2 linked regions of the Mus musculus genome follow. The protein of the gene in region 1 interacts with the protein of each later gene in a biochemical or structural test. Links are inferred from orthologs where the notes say so. Each region holds a gene or a part of one and is shown in the gene's direction. Other genes may lie near its edges. The genes, in order: Nub1 and Ubd.

Region 1 (10,670 bases):
TCACAGTCTGCAGCAAGATGGGGCTCAACACCAGAGCATTGTTTCTTTTCTCATAGTATTTAAAAAAAAAAAGGCCTTTTTTTTTTTTTTTTTTTTTGGTTTTTGGTTTTTGGTCTTTTTGAGACAGGGTTTCTCTGTTTAGCCCTGGCTTTCCGGAACTCACTCTGTAGACCAGGCTGGCCTCGAGCTCAGAAATCCCCCGCCTCTGCCTTCCAAGTGCTGGAATTAAAGGCGTGCGCCACCACTGCCCGGCGTCTTCATTTTTTTATGCCCGTTTGGATTGTTCCCTTACATAGACATAAGGGCACATGCATTTTTCACAGCGCTGAGCAAAGCAGATGTCTCTATCTACTGTACTCATGGTGGGAGTAGCCGCTGGAGGGAGGCATGGGTAGCGTACCTAACTTCACCATGAGCGGGGATCCTGGTGGGATTGTGGAGGGTAGTGTGAGAATCCTTTAGTCTAGGGGATCCCCTAGGCCTAGTAGAGGGAAGACGAGAAAAGGTTCAGGAAAACAGGTCTTGCTCTGTCAAGGCTTTTGGGGAATAAATAAAGGCAGACTCATTTTCCTCTGACTCTGAAAAACTCGGTCTGGGAGTGGTCCGAAGACCTCGTGATTGAAGACTAGCATTGCCTCACTTCCATTCCTCACCACGCCTCTTCCCCCTGCACAGCAGACCCCCTCCCACCGCTTTTGACCAGTTTTAGCCTTGCCTTTCCACCTAACAGCTCCACCTACAGTCGGCCCTTGCCTCCATCTTCCTCCTCGCCCGGTCCCACATCCGCTCCACCGCAAACTACCAGCCCCGCCCACAGATCGCCTGACCCTCAGCGCGGCCCTCGCCCCAACCACTTTGTCTCTCTTCCCCCTTACACGTCAGCCCCGCCCTAGCTACACTCTCCCTATTTCCATCTACTCTGTTGTCCCGCCCCATATCAGCCCCGCCCATTAAATACTAGCCCCGCCCACAGCCGCGTTTTCAGGGCTTCCTTCCGTTCGATGCTTCAGATCGCCCTTCAAGCCCCTTGGCCCCACCCTTCCATGCAGCTCCGGTCCTCGACCGGCCTTCCGGACAGCGCGAGGGGGCGGAGCCGGGGGCGGGGCCGGCCTCACCCGGAATGAAAACAAACGGCGGCCTTTGCCGCATCCGGGCACTCGGCAGGTCGCAGCTGGCTCGGCAGTGGCGCAGGTGAGACGGCTGCGGCAGCGACCGGGCCTTGGGCCTGGGCCTGGTAGCGCGGCCGGGGCGGCCGTGGGCTCGGTGGGCAGGAGCGGCCAGGCGGACGCGGCGAGGCGGGCTGGGGCGGAAGCGGGAGGGGGTCGCGGCGGGGCGGAGGGGAAGGGATGGACACCAGCCAGCAGCTTGAGTTTGGATGAGCTGACTGCCGGGGCTGACAGCGGAACGCGGGGTGTGAGAACGCAAGCTTTCTGGACCCACACTTGTCCTCGCCTCCTTCCCTTGCTTTTAAATAGGAGGCCCTAATGGCATGTCATTTCCCCGAGAGGGAACGTGTTGAATGTGCGTAAGGTTGTATGCAATCTCGATTGATCTACAAGTGAAAGTGGTATTTTCAACATTGATGCCTAAGGTTTCACTTTCGGTTCAGAGCGCTGATCTTGATGATTTACGTGTTTTCTGCGTTGGAACGCCCAGCAACACACATGAAACAGTTCTCCAATTAAAATTGAAAACTGGGCTGTTAGATTTTCTTCCTTTTGACCTAACACATGTCATTCTGGTACCTGTAACTGGATTTTCATAGGTTTGAATACAGTGGTTTAATTTAATTAATTAATTTTTTTGAGATGGTGACTCACTATGTAGCTCTGGTTGTCCTGGAATTCGCTAAAGGCGAGCAAAACTATAATCAAGCCGGTGGTTTAATTTTGTTCAACATTAAATCTTTATGTTAATCTGGGCATGGCATACCTTTAGCCCCAGCATTTAGGAGGCAGAGATGATCAGGTGATCTCTGTGAGTTCAAGTCCAGCCTGGTCTACATAGTAAGTTCCAGGACAGAGCTGAGTAGTGAGACTCTGTCATGGTTTTAAAAAAAACAAAACAAAAACAAAAAAACTTAGTCGGGCGTGGTGGCGCACGCCTTTAATCCCAGCACTTGGAAGGCAGAGGCGGGGGATTTCCGAGTTCGAGGCCAGCCTGGTCTACAAAGTGAGTTCCAGGACAGCCAGGGCTATACAGAGAAACCCTGTCTCAAAAAACCTAAATAAATAAATAAATAAATATTACGTGATGCAGACCTAGCAACAGTGTGGAGCACAGATGAAGGGTTGTGATAGCCTTGGCTTCTTTTATCAGACAGTGGACTGGGTACAGTCTGAAAGGCTGTTTTCAACCTTCTGAATAGCTGGGTACTAGTAAATTATCCCTGCCACCTCCTTAGGAGATGGCAGTAATCTTTTTCTCAGTTTCTAAACTGGGCGTGCTGGCACACGCCTTTAATCCCAGCACTCCGGAGGCAGAGGCAGATGGATTTCCGAGTTCAAGGCCAGCCTGGTCTACAGAATGAGTTCCAGGACAGCCAGGGCTACACAGAGAAACCCTGTCTCGAAAAATTAAAAAAAAAATTTTTTTTCTATAGATTTGAGTCCTGTGTCTGGAGGTTTAATAGACTTGTATTTGTAAGGCTCCTAAGTGCCTTGTGGTGAGCTTGTGAGTAAAAACACACAGCATGTTCATTCTCTCTCTCTCTCCCTCCCTCTGTCTCTCTCTTTCCCTCTCGCCCTGTCTGACATGCATACACACAATGTTTACTCCATGGGCTATCCTGATGACCTGTTTCTCGATCTCAGATCTGAGCACCCTTTTGAAAGCATGGTTATGGAATAATGCTTAAGTCACCACAGTTGGCTTGAAGATCAGGTGGATTCTGTTTAGAAGGCTGAAACTTAAGTTATTAATTCACATATTTTCCATTCTCTGGAATTCATGTTCACCAATGAGGAGTGAGCAGCTTCCTATTTGGTTTGATTTGGCAAGCCTTGAAACACTTGACTACCAGCTGCCCCAGGCTCTCAGTGGCCTCCCCCACCCTGTGGAAGCTATGTCACACCTCCTGTGTAAGAAAGGGGAAGTGCTGAGGACAAGAAGCACAGGATTGTGAGACAAGCTAGAGTCCATGTCGTAGGCAGTTGTCTCATGCCAGTTCTGGCCTGGGCTCATTTTGTGGTTTTATAAACCTGGGCCTGGGGTTTTCCAGCAGCAAAGTGATTTAGCCTCAACATCAATCTAGTGAGATGTGCTATTGTGCTCTCAGAAGTACCAGCGAAAACAAAACCAAGAAACAAGTTATAAAGACAAACAAATCTCAAACTAAACAAAGCAACAAAGACTGAAATGGTGCAGTGCTGTAAATTCTTTCATTTTATTTATTTATTTTTTTAATTAATTATTTTTTTCCGAGACAGTGTTTCTCTGTGTAGACCTGGCTGTCCTGGAACTCACTCTGTAGACCAGGCTGGCCTTCAACTCAGAAATCCGCCTGCCTCTGCCTCCCGAGTGCTGGGATTAAAGGCATGCATCACCACATAAATTCTTTTATTGATTGCCTGACTGATTTTTGACAGGCTGGCCTGGACCTCAGAGATCTACCTGTCTGCCCTCCAACAGCTTGGGGTAGAGGTGTGCATCACCACACCTCGCTAACTGTCCTTCAGAGTTGAACTGTATGAGCATTTAGTACTGATAGGTCAGAGTTCAGATGTGCTCCTCTTGTGCTGAATCATAGGCTTTGAGTTAAAGTGGCCAAGTGTGAGAGAATTTACAAAGTACAGATTGGGTTACTAAAGGGTTTGTCTTGTCTTTCTTATGTGTATGGGTATTCTGCCTGTATGTATGTATGTATGTGTATATGTGTGTTTGTGTGTGTGTGTGTGTGTGTGTGTGTGTGTGTGTGTGTGCGTGCGTGTATGTATGTAGACCAGAAGAGGGCCTTGGATGCCTCTGGAACTGAAGTTACAGATGATTGTGAATTGCCATGGGGGTATTTGGTACCAAACTGACTTCTTTCTGGCAGTATAGCCAGTGCTCTAACCATTGAGATGTCTGGCCAGCCTCTTTCCTTGTCTTTCTGAGAATAACAGGGTAAGAAGTGGAGAGGTGAGGCTGGGCTGCGTAGAACAGGACCCAGCACTCATAGTGCAGAATGCCCTGGTTTGCTCCCTTCTAACACAAACAGGACAGCATGCTATTCCTTGCTACATATTAGCAGTTGGAAGTGGGCATGGTACACTGGGGCTGGTTATAGGTGCTTTTAGTCCCAGTACTCAAGCGAGCAAAGGAACACAGATCTCTGTTCTAGGCCAGCCTGGTCTACAGAGCGAGTTCCAACACAGCCATGGCTGTACAGAGAAACCCTGTCCTAAAAAACAGACACAAAGGAACAATAAAAATCTACTGCCTTGCATATAATTGGATATAATAGCTCAGGTTAAGCTGACTGAGGTGCGGAGGGGAACACTAACTACTTAGTGGATTAGTAATGTGTAAAGCATTTTAAAATGTGATGTGGCTTTTATTGATTTACAGTTTTACTTTCAAGGATGGCGCAGAAGAAATATCTTCAAGCAAAACTGACTCAGTTTCTAAGGGAAGACAGAATTCAACTTTGGAAACCTCCATATACTAAAGAAAATAAGGAAGTTGGTTTGGCCGTAAAGGTATTTTGCAGTGTCAAAGCCTACTTAGTAAATACTCTTCTGAAGTCACCAGAAAGGACTAGGCACAGCTGTGAAGTTTGGAGACACACCAGAGCCATTATAATGAACAATTTTCTACTTAATTTTCAGCAGCAGAGGCAGAGCCCAGGGTTTCATATAGGTTGTGTATGCAAGCTCCCTGCTACCAAGCCACTCCCCACAAGCTGGCGTTTCATTTTTATGTTACCTGATCTCCCAGGCATTGTGTTAGTCCTCTTAACTATAACACAGTAGCTTGGTTTATGTTTCCTGAAGTTCCTCAAGCTTGAGTGGTCCTGAAGCCTTGGGACTTTGTCTGGGGTGGCACATTGTGACAAGCCTCAGGGCAAAGATGATAACTGAGGCTGGGACAGGCAGTCCTGTACGGGCTGATTCCTAGTGAGAGCAGATGTGGCTGTGAGACCACATACACACACACACACAGAGAGGTGTGGCTGTGAGACCAACCTTGGTTCAGTGGCTTGTGCTCCTCTCTTTTCTGAAAAAAAGATTTATGTGAGGTGTGGAGGCAGCAGCAGCCTCAGAGCCCTGTGACTCACCTAAGCAGGTGTGAATCAACTCCTGCCTCAGGCACACCACCCAACCACATGGCTCAGGGCGGCCCCAGTGGTGAAGGAAGACACTCTTTTCCTAAACCAGGAAGCTGAAAGGGATGATGTGTCCCTGAAGGCCTTATCCTTAGGAACCTCCCACCATGCAGAGCTGCCAGCGCCCTGCACATTACTCCTTTAACACAGCCTTTGGAAGACAGGCAAACCTGGACACTGATGTGCTGGGGTTTTTGTTTGTTTTTTTGAGACAGGGTTTCTCTGTGTAGCCCTGGCTGTCCTGGAACTCACTTTGTAGACCAGGCTGACCTCAAACTCAAATCCGCCTGCCTCTGCCTCTCCAGTGCTGGGATTAAAGGTGTGTGCCACCACTATCCGGCAATTCTTATGGTTTTATTAGTTTTTTTTTTCTAAACCTAACAGTATAATTATCCACTGCCCGGTTGGATGTGCTATTTTTAAAGTCATTTGAACTTGCTTGCTATGGTGTCTTAGCTTGAACTAATGAGACATTATAAATAAGACTCTAGTCTTAATCTCCAGTTCCTGGCAGATCGAACAGTCTTGGATCTTACATCCTAATGAGGCTTGGAGGCCCTAATAGTTTTAGGGGAAAAGTAGCTGCCAGAAGGAGGAAGCCTTGATTAGAAGCTGCATGCTTTCCATCCCACCCTCTAGGGGTCTGAGGTTGCTGCTGCCTCCACACTACTTGAGTGTAGATTGTTGCCTATGCGGAGGTGAGGGCAGGTGAAAGATAAGGCTAGAGCCTGTGATTGGGCAGTGGAAAAAGAAGGCGGGCGAAGAGATGGGACAGGGAGAGTGGATGGAACCTCTAGGAGAGTAAGATGAAGTGTATCCAAATGGCTGGAAATAGCCATAGGTAGCTATGGAGATCATAGGAGAACAATAGAATAATATAGGGTACTTTGTCCGATCTAGGTGTGCAGCTTGTATCTATATCAGTTGAGTTTTGAGTTCTTTGTGTGGGTGTTTTGTGGGTGAGAATTCTGACTGATAAATTACAAGCCTCTGGAGTTTTCTTTATATAGGGCTCAGGGTTTAGAGCAGGTCGTGATAGACTAGCTGCAGGGGATGGATGACTGGGAATGCGAACACCTTTGGGAAACTAGGTGGACTGTGGTTTGAGGATAGCCATGGGGGTATGGAGACCACCACAGCCGAAGAGTAGCCAGCAGTACTGTAGATTGATTTTTAATACTTACACACTACGCTTCAGAGTAAACTCTTTCAGAAAAGTCAGAGGAGCACAAGCTAACAGAACCAAGGCTGGTTTTGTAGCCATGTGCTCGCATGAAGCAGTATGTGTGTGCTGTGCTGATACTGTGTCCTGTGCTTGACAGAACGGGCATCATAGTAGACTTGTTCACACCAACATCTCCCAGACATGCAACATGGACATTACAATGGTCTCTTCTAGGTCTAGAGAGAAGGTTCAGCAGTTAAAGGTTTGCTGAGGATCACAGTTGAGCTCCCAGCAGCCATATGGGGTGACTCACAACTGCTTGTAACTTCAGCTCCAGGGATCTGCTGCCTTCTAGAAGGTCTCCACAGGAGCCCTCACACCTCAAGACAAGGTTTCTCTGTGTAGCCCTGGCTGTCCTGGAACTAACTCTGTAGACCATGCTGGCCTTGAACTCAGAAATCCGCCTGCCTCTGCCTCTCAAGTGCTGGGATTAAAGGCGTGTTCCACCACTGCCCGACTAAAACAAGCCCTTTTAAAAGTGGCTCTTATGCACTGTATATTATGAGAACACTGGCTTATGTTTGGTCTGTCACTGAAAGAAAAACAAACCATAGGGCTGGAGAGTTGGCTTGGTGGTTAAGAGCACTTGTTCTTACAAAGGACCCAGGTTCAATTCTCAGTACCCACAAGTAGGCTTACCACCTCCTTGGGCATTGGGCACATGTGTGGTTCACAGATGTACATGAAAACAAAACACTCACATATACAAAATAACAAAATAATCCTAAAATAAAATAAAAAACAGCCAGGTGGTGGTGGTGCACGCCTTTAATCCTACCGCTTGGGGAGGCAGAGGCAGGTGGATGTCTGAGTTCGAGGCCAGCATGGTCTACAAAGTGAGTTCCAGGACAGCCAGGGCTATACAGAGAAACCCTGTCTCAAAAAACAAAAAACAAAACAAAAAAATCAAAGATGCTCTTAGCCTCTGAGCCATCTCTTCAGCCTCCACAACTGAAAAATAAAAGTGTGTGTGTATGTCACACTTGTGCAGGTTAGAATTCAATTATAGGACTTGGTTCTCTCCCACTACCTTGTAGGGCCCAGAGATTGACCTCAAGGTGTCAGGCTTGGCCACAAGTGCCTTTACTTGCTGAGCTGTCATTGTCACAGCCCTAAGTTCATTGCTTCCTAAAGTAATTTCTTAGTCTATTAAGGTCACAGACTTCTCAGTCCTCCCTTCCACCTCTCTGGAATAGTCCCAGTTACTCTCACTCTGACCAGCAAACCTATTTTTACTGTTTATAAGTGTTTTAAATTTCTCCCTGAATCCTCCCTGAGAGCCCAGATTGAGTTTCAGTACAGTGGGGGCATCTGCTAGTAAGAATTAACGTTGCTTTGGGAACTAGCTATCTATATATATTTATATTTATACACACACGCACACATGCAGTTTTCTTGTGTGTGCACTGGATCTCCCCTGACCTGTTTCTGGTTTCTCCTCATAGGACCTTGCTAAGAAGTACTCTGAGCGGCTGGAGTGCTGTGAAAACGAAGTGGAAAACATAATCGAGGAAATCCGACGCAAAGCAATTGAGCGCGGCACTGGGAATGAACACTACCGAACAACTGGGATCGCCACCATTGAGGTGTTCCTGCCTCCAAGGCTCCGGAAGGTGAGTAACTTTGGGACTGCCTTGCTGTGCTCAGATGAGCTGTGGTTGTGCTGTTGGTTTGCTTGGTTTGGCTTTTTGAGACAGGATCTTTTTGTGTTGGGTGGTCCTGTCTGTCCTGTATGTAGACCAGATTGCTGCCTCTGCTAGGATTAAAGACACATGCCCAGGGCTGGTGAGATGGCTCAGTGGGTAAGAGCACCCGACTGCTCTTCCGAAGGTCTGAAGTTCAAATCCCAGCAACCACATGGTGGCTCACAACCATCCAGAATGAAATCTGACTCCCTCTTCTGGAGTGTCTGACGACAGCTACAGTGTACTTACATATAATAATAAAAAAAAAATAAATCTTAAAAAAAAAAAAAGACACATGCTCAGCAAACTGTTTTTTGTAAACGTGCTTAAGGAACTCCATGTGTTGAATGGTTGCTGATATAAACTTATCTTCACACATTTAAGGTAGGCTTGTTCATGTCTGGCCTTCAAAGCATGGGCCACAGAAGTGAGGCATGATAGTGTATGTTGTCATTTCAGCCCTTGGGAGCCAGGGCCTCCCTGTAGTTTAAAGTTGTCTTCAGTGAATTCAAGGTCAGCTCATGAGACCCTCTCTTTTGGAAAGCAAAACAGAAACAATGTCACATGAGCCAGGAGATGACTTAGCAGATGAAGGCTCTTTTCATCCAGACCAGTGACCAGGGTTTACTACAGAAAAGCCAAGTTCGAGGAGGGAGAGTTGGCTGGAGAAATGACCCAGTCAGTGCAGACATGAAGACTCTGGAGTCCCTGTAAAAAGCCCTGCAACCCCAGCACTGGCTGGTACAGCATCACAGAGATGTGTATGAAGCTCTGAAGTTCACTGGCCAGCAGAATCAATGCGAGACTATTATAACATGAAAATGTGGAAAATAATCAAGACAGGACACCTGTCATCAAGCATGTGTGTGCTTGCTTACACACCCACACTAGCAAGTACAACCACCACACACCAGATGTTGTAAGAATAAACTGACAGGTGAGCCTTCACCACAGGCTAAGGTAGACACAGCCCAACTTGTGTCAGTGACTGTGTGGATGAGCAGAGCATCCACGCCACAGAAGATGACTGGTGTGACAGATATTCGACATTAATTGTCTGTAATAGGAGAGGACCTCAAAAACATGCAGAAAGGACCGATGCTGTATGTTTCTGCTCATGTGCAGTGTCCAAAACAGACAACTCCAGAGACAGGAAATAATGGTTGCAAGGCTGGAGAAAAGAGGAATGGGGTGCTGGACATGGTGCCTTGTGAGGGGTGATGAGATGGGAGGGAGGGTTCAGAAATTCCATTAAACATTTTCTTCTCTTAAGATTTTATTTTTGCTGGGTGGTGGTGGTGCAGACCTTTAACCCAGGAGGCTGCAGCAGGGAGATCTCTGAGTCTGAGGAAATGGGTGCTAAGAAGAAAGCTCGGGTCCTTTATAAAAGGAGTATAGACACATCCACTGAGCCATCTCCATTCAATTATGATGGTGGCTGGCATGTGACAAATCCCACTGAGCAGCCATAGGACAATCAGGTCACCCTGTTGGTTTGTGCTGGACCATGTTCAGCATGCTTCTCCGTTCAGACAGTGTTTTGGTCCTTAAGTAGAACACTGTGCTTGCATCCTGACAGCACCTTACAACTTCATGCAGGGCAACAGTTCAAAGGAGTGTCACACACAAGCCTTTTGTTTTCTCTTTTTGCAGCACGATAAGAAAAGCTTGTTGGAGACCCGCTTGCATGTCACTGGTAGAGACCTGAGGTGTCAGTGAGTATCTGAGCTGGGTGCCTGCAGGTCTGGCCCTCTCACCTACCCTGCTTCTGGATGCACTCAAGCCATCCTGTAAGCTAGGCAGCTGGCCTGTCCTCCCCTTACAGCAGAGAAGAGGAAGCCTGGAGGGTGGGGTGGCAGGCATGCTGGGCTCACTGCTACACCAGAGACAACGGGGGCTTCTTAGATGTAGTGCAGCTTTCAGAAGGTTGCAGCTTGGTGCCCACAGACATGCCCAAGGTACTGCAGTGGCTAGCTGAGGGATGGAAGCAGGAGGAACATTGCACCAAGAGAACACGTGTTTTATACATTCCATTCCTTTGGGTGCTGGTCAGTGAAGGCCGGCCATCATCCCAAGTGTCCCTTTAGTTTATTTGTCTCACTTCTTCAGCTTCCATCAGGGTTAAGGAGAACCAGGACATGCCACTCATTCAATGCCCGCAAGTAGACAGTGGTATAGGATAGCCCTAGCTTCAGGATCCCATGGATGCTGGGAAGTACGGCAAGCATGTTTTTGATTCTGCTCAAATGGCAGCCCTGCAGTCCTCAACTCAGAACCAAGTGTAGAAGGGGCTTGGCTCACCCGCTTGGAGTATTATTGTACTGTGATGCTCACTGGTCAGTGGGTGGAGGGCCTGGGTATTTGTGAGTAGAAAGTATAAAGTAGCAGAAAGGACCTCATAACCCAAGTCTCCGTGGTAGGTGACAAGTGACAAGCTTGCTCTCCCAGAGCTCAT
Region 2 (11,031 bases), on another chromosome or scaffold:
GGGAAAAGGGAAAGACTGGATCCTGATGCCCCACCCCCACCCCCGATTGTGGAGAGGAGAGCTTGTCTTCTGGAAAGAGATTGCACACAGTTCTGACAACCTGCCAGGCTACCATGTAGGATGGACTATAACCAGACTACCATGTAGGGTGGACTATAACCTAGGTAATGATAATGGAAAGTACCACATGTTGGCTAAGACTTCTTGTCATGAGTTTGCCTAGCTTGTTATAGGCAGGGACCTGAAGATGAACTTGAGGAACCTCCCTAGAAACTCTCTTTCTTTTTTTTTCTCTCTCTCAAAGATTTATTGTATGTATGTATGCATGTATGTATGTATGCATGTATGTATGTATGTGTCTTCAGACACACCAGAAGAGGACATCAGATCCCATTATAGATGGCTGTGAGTCACCATGTGGTTGCTGAGAATTGGACTCAGTCAATCAATTCTCAGTCAGTGCTCTTAACCTCTGAGCCATTTCTCCAGCCCCCAGTTTCTCTTTCTTGTGATGACCCCTTTGAATACATCTCCTTTCTCTGCTTGTCACCGTTACTTGTTTATTGGCATGTGGAGGACAGGAGTGGCCAAGCCTAGGTTGTTAGGGCTGCACAGCCCAGGCTCTGGCCCAAACAATTCTGAACAAATGTATAAGAAAATAGTGACTGCAGATAGGAATTAGAATGTGAAGGGAGCTTGTTGCAGACCAGGTTTGGCAGCTTATCTGGTCTCTTCTGCCAGGTTCTCCCTGATGCCTCACTGCAAGGTGGTTTTCTATTCACCTTCAATCTGAGATGATGTTTTCTGCTGGAGACTGATGATGCTTCAGAATTCCAAGTTCCTATTGGACAATGGTGGCAACTAAAGGTCAGAAGCTGGAATGTTAATCCTTGAGAACAGGGAGCTGGAGAAAGCTGACAGAACAGCGAAGCCAGTGGCATCCAGAATATTCTACAAGGGACTTTTCCCTTCGTGCTATGAGTTTAAAAAAGTATATTACTCTACCATATACACTAATAATTTTAGTTTAGCTAATGACTGTCTAATAAGAGCTTCAAATGCAATTTTCATTAGGATATTGAAATATTCAAGCAACCTTTTTTTTTTTTTTTTTTTTTTTTTTTTTTCAAATTGCAAGAGGATTTTTATTCAAGAGCGCTCTCGGGCCCATGGTCATACACCACGCAGGGGTAGAGGACCGTGGCGCCCCGAGTAGCTGGGTAAGGGGGTATTTAAAGAAACCGAAACTTAAGGAAGTGGGGAGGGCGTTGTTGGAAGATACCAAAGATACCAGTTAAGAGTCACAAGGAAGTGTAAAGTTACAAGAGTCACAAGGAATACCTGGTAATTGTTAACTCTCAAGACAGCTTCTAAGAGCCTCTAACAATAGCACATTTGCATTGCAGGTTCTGGTAATGGCCAGGGTGACTTTCTTTGAATGAGCACTCTTTGAACCCAGGAAGCGGGTGGGTAGAGGAATGTTGCTCTCTTTTTTGATTAGCATACCTTTACAAAGGCCACATTCCCAAGCCTGGGCCTAAAGGCCTAGAATTCTGTTTTTACGTTGTTATACTTTCATTCCCCCCTTCTACTTGTTAGTAGTTCTAATCTTAGAACTAGACACTATTTTTTTCCTGACATACTTGATCCTTTACTTTAGGGCATGGTACTGTTGTCTTAAAACTAAAAGCCACATTGCACTCATTTCTGTTTTAATAAAGGTGACTTGCCTATTTAACACACATGGACCTATAATTAAAAGCAGAAGCAAAATCAAAAGAGGTCCCATAAAGGTAGAAAGTAGGGTCGTCAAGAGTACAAGATAAGGGCCTTTCCACCGGAGTCTTAAGGTTTTCTGTGTGGAGACGTCTAATGTAGCAGGTCTTCTTCTCTTGAGTAGGCCTTCTGGAGCTGCTTTTTCGCTCCTGTCTCACTCACTGGAGCACCTTGAGCCTAGAGAACAAAGGCTGGGAAAGCAGCATGTCAGCACCATGTACAAAGGCTATTTTTACCAGTGGAGGGGGCCCCCTGTAGAGTAATTTATAGGGGGGTCAGTCTAAACTGTCCAGGGGTGTTTTTATCCCTGAAGAGCATAAAGGGTAGGAGAGCTATCTAATCATAGCGCCAGTCTCCGCTGTCAATTTGGTAAGGATCCCTTAATGGTTTTATTAATTTTTTTACCTGTCCTGAGCTTTGGGGCCTGCATGCACAATGTAACTTTTAACCAATCTCTAATATCTTGGCCAGTCTCTGATTTACCTGGGCAACAAAGGCAGGTCCATTACCTTGGGAAGATTTCTTTTAGAAATTCTACCTCATTATAGCACAGGCCTTGAATCAAGCAACCTTTTTGATTGTCTTATTCAGCACAGGTACTCTGTAAGCCAAATTCTTCAGAATGGAACCCCCTAAAATAAAATGACACAGTTTAAGGTGTTATTAAAGGGGGGAGTGAACATTGGGGTCCCATTCCTAAGAAGTTTCTGCAATTGATACTGCCCAGTGAAGAGAAATATCAGCTTTCTCCAATGGAGTCTCATTAGGTAAATTAATCATACTTTAGGGCAGGCTACATAACCAGAAGTAGCTGGCCCACTACTGACTGATGGTATATTTTGTAGACTTTTTGCTTTGTTTGGAGGTTTTTGTTTTCTTTGTTTTGTCTCATGGTCTTTATGGTCTTTTGCTTATTTGTTTTTACATTTTTGAATGTGTGTGTGTGTGTGTGTGTGTTTGAGAGACAGAGAAAGAACGTAAAGTTGGGCGGGTAGGGAGGTGAGAAGGAAGATTTGGGAGGAATTGGGGGAGGGGAAAACATGATCAAAAAAAGAAAAAAAGGTTTTTCAGTGGATGAGTACATAGCCACTTCAAGTACAGAAAACAAGAGGAATAATTTGGAAAATTTACAGAGTTCTTTGGGGGGGGGGGAGAACCCCTGAAGCTGTTTAATAAACAATTTTGAAAATTAGTTTCATGGAGTGTCCTACCTCAGAAGCCAATGTCAAACTTGGAATATTAGGAGTATCAGGTTTCTTGAGGAGACAGCTCAGTCACAATCTTGGTCTCATTCAACCAACTTTCAACAGTGAGGGAATAGCACCATCACATGTCTCTGGCCTCAGGGAGAGGAGGCATCTGAGAGCCAAGGGGGTGGGGGTGGGAATCCAGGAACTGTGGTGCACATATGGAGAAAGGTAGGAGTCAGAATTTAACTGTTGATTTTGGATTGTTCTCAAGTAGTATGTTTGGTTTGCAGATTCTGAGTCAGGTTGGGAAATGTATTAGAGGTTCAAGAACCAAGAATCCAAAGTAAGTGTGTGTGTGTTTGTATGTGTGTGTGTTTAAAGACTTTATAAGCAAGGTTCTATATGCTGGGGAGACACCAGGAATGGCCTTCTATGTTAACCTATATTAAAAGAGGGGAACATATTTTTACAACATAATGTATGTAGCAAGCGGTACCCTACCCCAGGACACCAAGTCACAGCTGCAGTCCAGGCTCATTTAGGCAGTGAGGGAGGGTAAGCAAGCATCACAAATTATCAAGCTAGCTAGTGGAAGATTAGTAGTAGCTGGGCAGAACTAAGGCAGGATTGGGAGAAGGTAGGGGGATTTTCAGCCTGGGCAAAATTCCTATCTTAGAATGACTATTCTATGCACAGAACTAGGAATACAGATAGATTGGCTAAGGGGAGAAATCTGTGTACAAACAGTGTCCATTATGAACTCTACCCCAGCAAAAGTGAAAGGAATTATTGAGAACAAAGGTTGCTGCTAAACTGGACAACACATTGAACTTGGGGATTTCCAACCCAGCTACTCACATATAAGCAGACACAAGGACTCTTTTCTTATTCAGCCTCTGACTACAGACATGGCTTCTGTCCGCACCTGTGTAAGTTGGGGTTTGGTAAACGAATGGGAAGGAAAAGTATTTCCATGTATTGGGGGTACAGTTCCACAACTTGGGAGGGGACAGTGGTCTAGAAGGTGAGGCAGTTGGGTGAGAAACATTTAGGAGAAAAGGCAGACATTGATAACTGCACAATAGGAAGAGGGTACTCTGAAGAGAGGTTGGTCATTTGACTTATTAAACTTTTAAAATATTTTATTTATTATATGTGTGCATGTATATGGTGGGTCAGAGCCAGAAGATAACCTTCAGGAGTCAGTTCTCTCTCTTCACCACATAGGTTCTAGGGATCAAGCTTAAAGGTGAGGCTTGGCAGCAAGAGATTTTATTGACTGACTGATTGATTGATTGATTTACTTATTTGTTATTTATTTAAACAGCTGAGCCATTTTTGCCATCCCCACTTAGGAGAAATGGTAGGACACTTTGCTTCATGAGGCTGGCAAGATGTGAAATTAGGAAAATAACTTACAGAGTTCTCAGCCTTAAGCGTCTCTCTCTTTTCAAAGGAAAACTTCATAAAACTTGTTTTTCTTGTTATTGGTGACATAACTAACACATTACCTTAAACAGGTTATGCTCCAATGTAAAGAATGTGCAATTAGGGCAATGTCCAATACAAGACAAAACTGAAGAAGAATATGGAATATCTAGGTTGGGAAGGTTCCTTGAATGGAGTATGAGGAAGTTTTCATAAAGTTTACAGGCCTGATTCTTCCCTAACTTAATTCTTCAGTAAATGAAGTTAAACTCAGATATAGTTTTTGTCTTCTGTGAATGGGATCCTGGTCTAATTTAAAAAGGATATTATGTTCTATATCAATGGATATAAAATACAAGAGATACACATTAACACCATTAAGCACAGCATCACCACAACATGGACATTACCAGAAATGGACGGGAACATTAATAAGAACGCAGCAGTGTAGAGACTATGTCTTAACTAGGGTTCTTTCTGAATTAGTCACAGAGGGTGAGTCATGGCTGAGAGCATTCTGTGAGGCTGCCAAATCTTGGAAATCCTCTTTGGGTTTGCTTAGGGATCTGTATACAACGTTTGAAGCCCTATAGTTTCACGAAGCCGATGTTCTGATTTGGGTTATGATGTAGGAATCAAAAGTTGCAAGAGAGGGAGAGATGCAGACTGTTGAGAAGGAGCCAGAGGGCCAACCAGGAGAACAGTGAAGCTGAGGAGTAGGGGGTAGAGGGTGGCAGGCGTTCTTAGATGACGCTCTTGGCTTTCTTTGCCTAGGTTGTCCGTTCAGACCAATGGCGGTTAATGACCTTTGAGACCACTGAGAATGACAAAGTGAAGAAGATAAATGAACATATTAGGTCCCAAACCAAGGTCTCTGTACAGGACCAGATCCTTCTGCTAGACTCCAAAATCCTCAAGCCCCATCGAAAATTGTCATCCTATGGGATTGACAAGGAAACCACTATCCACCTTACCCTGAAGGTGGTGAAGCCCAGTGATGAAGAGCTGCCCTTGTTTCTGGTGGAGTCCAAAAACGAGGGGCAAAGGCACCTCCTCCGAGTTCGAAGATCCAGCTCAGTGGCCCAGGTGAAAGAGATGATCGAGAGTGTGACCTCTGTGATCCCTAAGAAGCAGGTTGTGAATTGCAACGGAAAGAAGCTGGAAGATGGAAAGATCATGGCTGACTACAACATCAAGAGTGGCAGTTTGCTCTTTCTGACAACACACTGCACTGGGGGATGACCACGGGGATGCGGTGATGAGAAGCTCAAAGCCGATTTCCTCTGAGCTATTACCAATCACATCTCTTGATGATATAAAAAATTAACGAGAATGAAATAAATATTTGAGGGAAGTGGAGTAGATTAAAAGTATTTGTCAAGTCTGTGAATCTTGTTTCTAACATAGTTCATTCGCAGGGTTGTTGATGAGGGCAAAAGCTGAACCTTTAGTCAGGTGTGGTGGTGCAAACTTAATTCCAGGACTTGGGATGCAGGGGAAGGTGGATCAATGAATGATTGTTGAACCAAATTGAATTTTAATTATAGAGTATAGAGAAAGAATGTGTTATGGAATATGATTGTTTACCATAACTGGATCATAGTCTAATAAATTATTTAAATTCAGTCATCATCTTCTTAAAGATATTTGGTATGAAATAAAACCTAACACCCTCTCCACGTGTCGGGTGGGCAAGGAAGGGGAAGAGCCTTATCCTATCCGGCAGATGGGAGTCCCAGTTTAACCAGGGCCAGCACAATTGCCTATTATTTGCAGACATTCTTTGACGTTCTGTAGTGGGCATGGTGACCTGGCTAGGTTTGCATTAGCTGGACTGGCTCCCCAAGAATGGAAACCATGTCTTGTTTCTGGAAGAGATCTCTGTAAGGTGGGGCCCATAACTTCTTTGTTAACCCGAGAGAGACTCCACCTGATGGGCGAGGTCATGGAATTTTTTAAGGTCTTTTGTAAGCCTGGAGAAAAAAATAAAGGTCAGCACCAGGGTGCTCATCATCTTATCTCCAGGTGGATTCTTCAGGGCTGGTACAAAGTCTCCTCAGAGTGCATCTGACCCCCTCCTGCATCCTGCTTCCCTCCTTACTGAGAGTCCCAAGAGCCATTTACCACATCACCATTTAAGAGTGTTTATATATTTCAGGAGTCCCCTCTCCGCACCCCGCAAGAATTCAAACCCTACCCGGTGAGAGAAAAGAATCTCGCTACTAACCCAGAACTCACGGAGCACAAAACTTGCAGATCCTTATGCACAGACAAAAATTATGAGCATCCTATTTCCAGGACTCTGAGCCCTTCTCAGTTTTTTCACTGTCCCACCTATGGCCTCCCCAGACTCCGCAAGAGCCTCAGTGCCGCCCCCTTCACTTCCTTGTTCCTCAGTGTGTAGATGAGAGGATTGAGAGCGGGAGTGACCACCGTGTAGAAGAGCGAGACGAATTTGCCACGGCCCTGGTTGTAACTATGCGTGGGTTGCAGGTAGGTGTAGGTGGCAGAGCCATAAAATAGGCAGACCGCGGTCAAGTGAGAGCCACATGTGCTCGCCGCTTTCCGCCAGCCAGAGCTGGAGTGCATGCCCCAGACCGCGCGGCCCACGGCGATGTAGGAGGCCAGGATGACCGCCGAAGGCACCAACAGGATGACCACACGCGCGGCGAACATCTGGCGCTCGGTGGCGCTGCGGCCGCCGCGGCAGGCCAGCTGCAGCAGCGCCGGCAACTCGCAGATGAAATGGTCCAGACAGCGGGGTGCGCACAGGGGACGCGCGGCCAGCAGGGCGGTCTGCGCCGCGGAGTTGGCCAGGCCACCGAGCCAGGAGACTCCGGCCAGCGTGCGGCACAGTAGCGGCGAGGCCAGTGAGGTGTAGCGCAGAGGGTTGCATACCGCAGCCGCGCGGTCCAGCGCCATGACGGCCAGCAGCACGCACTCGGCGGAGCCCAGCGCCAGCGATGAGCACAGCTGAGCCATGCACCCAGCGCGCGGTAGCTGCAGCATTGAGCCGCGCAGGCTGGCCAGCAGCGGTGGCACCACACTAGTGGTGAAACCCACATCCACCAGAGCCAAGTGGCAAAGGAAGTAGTACATGGGTGTGTGCAGGCGAGGGTCGCGAATGGCCAGCAGCACCAACGCCGCGTTGCCGGTGAGCGTTAGTAGGTAGCAGAGAAGGACCAGTGCGAAGAGGACAGGCTGCAGAGAGGGCCAGTCGCTGAAACCCAGCAGTAGGAAGCGCTCCGCTGAGCTGTGGTTAGCCTGAGGGGGAAAACTCCAAGAAGGTTCGGAAGGCGAGACAAAAATATTTAATGCTAGACAGTGTTGCGGGCCTTGCGCTGGGAGGCAAAGGCCAGAAATTTCTGTGAGTTCGAGGCCAGCCAGAGCTACATAGTAAAACCCTGTCTTACCGCTAACCACAACAAACAAGAACCTCCAATATGGGATAAACTCGGCACATGCCCAAGTTTTGGTTTTGTTACATAGCCACATCCCAGTATTCCTTTACAAGTCCTTCAAGGGGGATAGAAACTGTGCTTAACAGGTGAGCCAATTAGACACAACTTACAAGATCAAATTGTCCTAAGTCTATCGCTAGCTAACCAGGTCTGTGTTCCTGGTTCTGGTTGCCCTTCCAGGGATTAAGGAAGAAATTCAGCATTCCTCCTAAGGGCAGCTATAAAGATACTTTGTATAAGAAGGGCATACTCCACTCTGAGCACCCCGCCCCCAGTTTTCCTTAAAAGTGGGCGTTGTCTAAGAGTTAAGCCTGAGTGAGACTAGATGGAGCAGTATCATCCACTTTTCTGTTTATGCAACAGTTAAAGCCAAGTGCGCTCTGATAGGAGGAGCCAAGAAATATCTAGCTATAGTTTCCACTGGACTACACCAAATATGGTAACTGTAGCCAATCAAATATTTTTGTCCTTAGTCTCCTTTCCTTCCTCTCTGCCTCCGTTGTCTCTGCCTGTCTTGAGGTTTCTTTCCTTCTCTCCCTGCCTGCTTCTCTCTCTCCCGCCCTCCCTTCTTTCCAGTAGGGCCTCATGAAGCCCAGGTTGGCCTTCAGTTCTACTTGAGAGGCAGAGGATGGCCTTTGAACTCCTGATCCTCTTGTGTCAACCTCCAGAGAGCTAGGATTATAATCATGAGCTACAGTGTCCAGCATCCACCCAAATGTTTCTTTGTTTTACTTCTGTGTTCATCCTATCAAAATGTTCCCTATGTTTCCCGGCTGTGGCCCACTGAACCACTTTTGCCTGATTCAGAAATAGCTATTTGCTCAAATAAACCCGTTTAAAGTTTATTGTGCCTCGCCCCCCCCCCCCTTGGGCTGGGGATTGAATCTGGGACCTTGCACATGCTAAGCATGCTCAGACTGAGCTATGCTCCTACTCTGTGAGTTTGTTTTTAACATGTTATACTGGAATACTTCCTATCAGACCAGAAATGAGGAGCCCTCAGGCCTCAAACTGTACTCAGCTAAAACAACAGTGTCTGGTTGGTTATTTGAGATGTAGAAATCATTTCATATCATTCTCCTTCAAGTTTGTCATGTGTAAATGGTGGTGGAATTTGACTTCTTGGGTCTATCATGGGCTTTCCTGTCAACTGTTTCTCAAACAAATTTAAAAGAAATGCAAGAAACAAAAAGGACCTCGATTTCAAGGCTCTAGGTATTGATACTGAATTCAACAATCTGGGGGATACAGAAATTATCATGGTTGATAGAATAGATAAAACTTGCACAAGAGTCTTTCTATGCATGCTTTATGACAGATATCACATATATAACTTGTGAACACACTTAGTGCTTTTAATTTAAAAAGAACCACAGCCCTCTGGCCTGGCAAGATGTCTTACCAAGTAGAGGCCCTTGCTGCCTGATGGCCTGAGTTTCAACTCTGGGATCCATATAGTGGAAGAGAACTGACTCCTTCAAGTTGTCCTCTGACCTTCACACGTATGATGTGGCACGCACCCCCACCCCCAATCGATCAATCACAAGCTTTTTAGTTTTTTTCAGGAAGTAATCCGTCTCCCAATACAACACCTTGCTTATCCTCACCAGGCAGAGAAAGTTTCAATGTGAATAAGAACTTAAGGCTCCTTAGATTTGAGTCTTGATTCTGCTACTTTCTAGATGATACCCATGAGCATGTACCTAACCCCTCTGTGCCCCTATTCGTCCCATGGAAACATAAGTTGGTAACAAGAGTTAAATACACAGAGTGCTTTGAACAGTGCCTGGCACACAGTAGGTGAGTGTTAACTGTTATCACCCCTATTTATAAGCTAGCATATACAGTTTTGTTTTCATTATTTGATACTTTTTAGTGTTGGAAATTGAACCCAGGGCCTTTGTGCATTGTGCATATATATATCTCCCTACTGGTCACACACTGAATCATATCCCTGGCCTGGGAAATTGTTTTGTTTGTCAAGACAGAGTCTTATTATTATGTATTATTCTAAGCTGGCCTCGAACTCAGAATTGTCCTACTTTGGCCACCTGAGAGCTGAGACTACTGTGTGTGTGTGTGTGTGTGTGTGTGTGTGTGTGTGTTCCTGAACCACTCAAGCTCTAGGACATGAGGGGTAACAGACTTGAAGTGCAGATCTTCTTTCCTATCATGTATTAAATTTAATATTTCCTTGATTGGAAATCAGGCATCAAAATTAAATGTGTCCACCGTCACATTGTTTATGAATGATAGAAGATTTTGACTTAAACCTGATTAACTCCAAGGTCTTGGCTGAGTTCACAGGTTCTATTATGCCAGATTATGGACGATAAAGGGACATGAAAAGCTTCATCTTTATTTCTAGACAACTTCATAGCATTGGAACATGAATGAAATTTAAGACATGGCAATAAACTGTGAAGTAGTAGTGGCTGGCTGGAGTTGTTGAATTACAAAAAGTCAAACTCTTCAGTGTTGGGATTGCATAACCGTATGTCAGCACAGCTAGGCAAGTCCTAAAACATTTGCCTTCAGGGATGAATAAAACGGGTACACACTTATAAAACTCCACAGACAATGTCTTTTTCTTATGTACAAATCCCCAAGAACACAGTTCTAACGCACACCCACATCACTGAGTTTTCAGAAGACAAAATATGTTATCAATTCAATAATGCGTCTTAAAACCTCCCCTGATCTTTGAGAACACACCCTGAGCTGCAAAATCATTTATTCTTAGGGGAATGTAGCAAACTTACCTTCATGTTTAACCTCTGGTCCCCATTTTCAGACTTGAGTTTATGTTGGTGTCTTGCTCGTGTTCTGGATGCTGTGAGTTTGAAATGATGGAGGGAAAGATTAACAAAAGACACAAATAGTTGACTGTATCGGTTGCTGGAAGGAGTACCCGAGATCAGAGCCAGGCACTTCGGGGAGATGACCAGGGGTGGATGCCATCCTGTTCAGCAGAGAAATAAATCAATTGTTTGGAAGGAAGATGCATAAGTTTGTGGAGTGGGCATACAGAAGCAAAGGTGGAGGCTGTTACTGGACAGTCCTGTAAGGGGCACACACAGAACAGAAGCTTGAGACTTGTGATGGTAGCCAATTTACCTTAGCTGGTGAAGGCCCTGAAAATACCTTTCTAAAATCTAATGGGAGAGAGAGAGAGA

Evidence for each region.
Region 2: the proteins of Nub1 (region 1) and Ubd form a complex in vitro, tested with the Homo sapiens proteins (6 studies listed by BioGRID, with this or other methods). The link is inferred for Mus musculus from reciprocal best matches to the Homo sapiens genes NUB1 and UBD.

Annotation. Positions count from the first base shown.
Region 1 is NC_000071.6:24,684,832-24,695,501, forward strand, and holds the start of Nub1 (NEDD8 ultimate buster 1), read left to right. Parts: upstream 1-983; 5' UTR 984-1,120; coding exon of another isoform or gene 1,121-1,191; intron 1,192-4,548; 5' UTR 4,549-4,561; coding exon of another isoform or gene 4,562-4,562; coding exon 4,563-4,679; intron 4,680-7,975; coding exon 7,976-8,143; intron 8,144-9,868; coding exon 9,869-9,930; intron 9,931-10,670. UniProt on the Homo sapiens protein: Specific down-regulator of the NEDD8 conjugation system. Recruits NEDD8, UBD, and their conjugates to the proteasome for degradation. Isoform 1 promotes the degradation of NEDD8 more efficiently than isoform 2.
Region 2 is NC_000083.6:37,190,078-37,201,108, forward strand, and holds Ubd (ubiquitin D), read left to right. Parts: upstream 1-3,814; 5' UTR 3,815-3,874; coding exon 3,875-3,895; intron 3,896-5,168; coding exon 5,169-5,636; 3' UTR 5,637-6,024; downstream 6,025-11,031. Other genes in the region: Olfr94 (olfactory receptor 94), read right to left, coding at 6,729-7,889. UniProt on the Homo sapiens protein: Ubiquitin-like protein modifier which can be covalently attached to target proteins and subsequently leads to their degradation by the 26S proteasome, in a NUB1-dependent manner.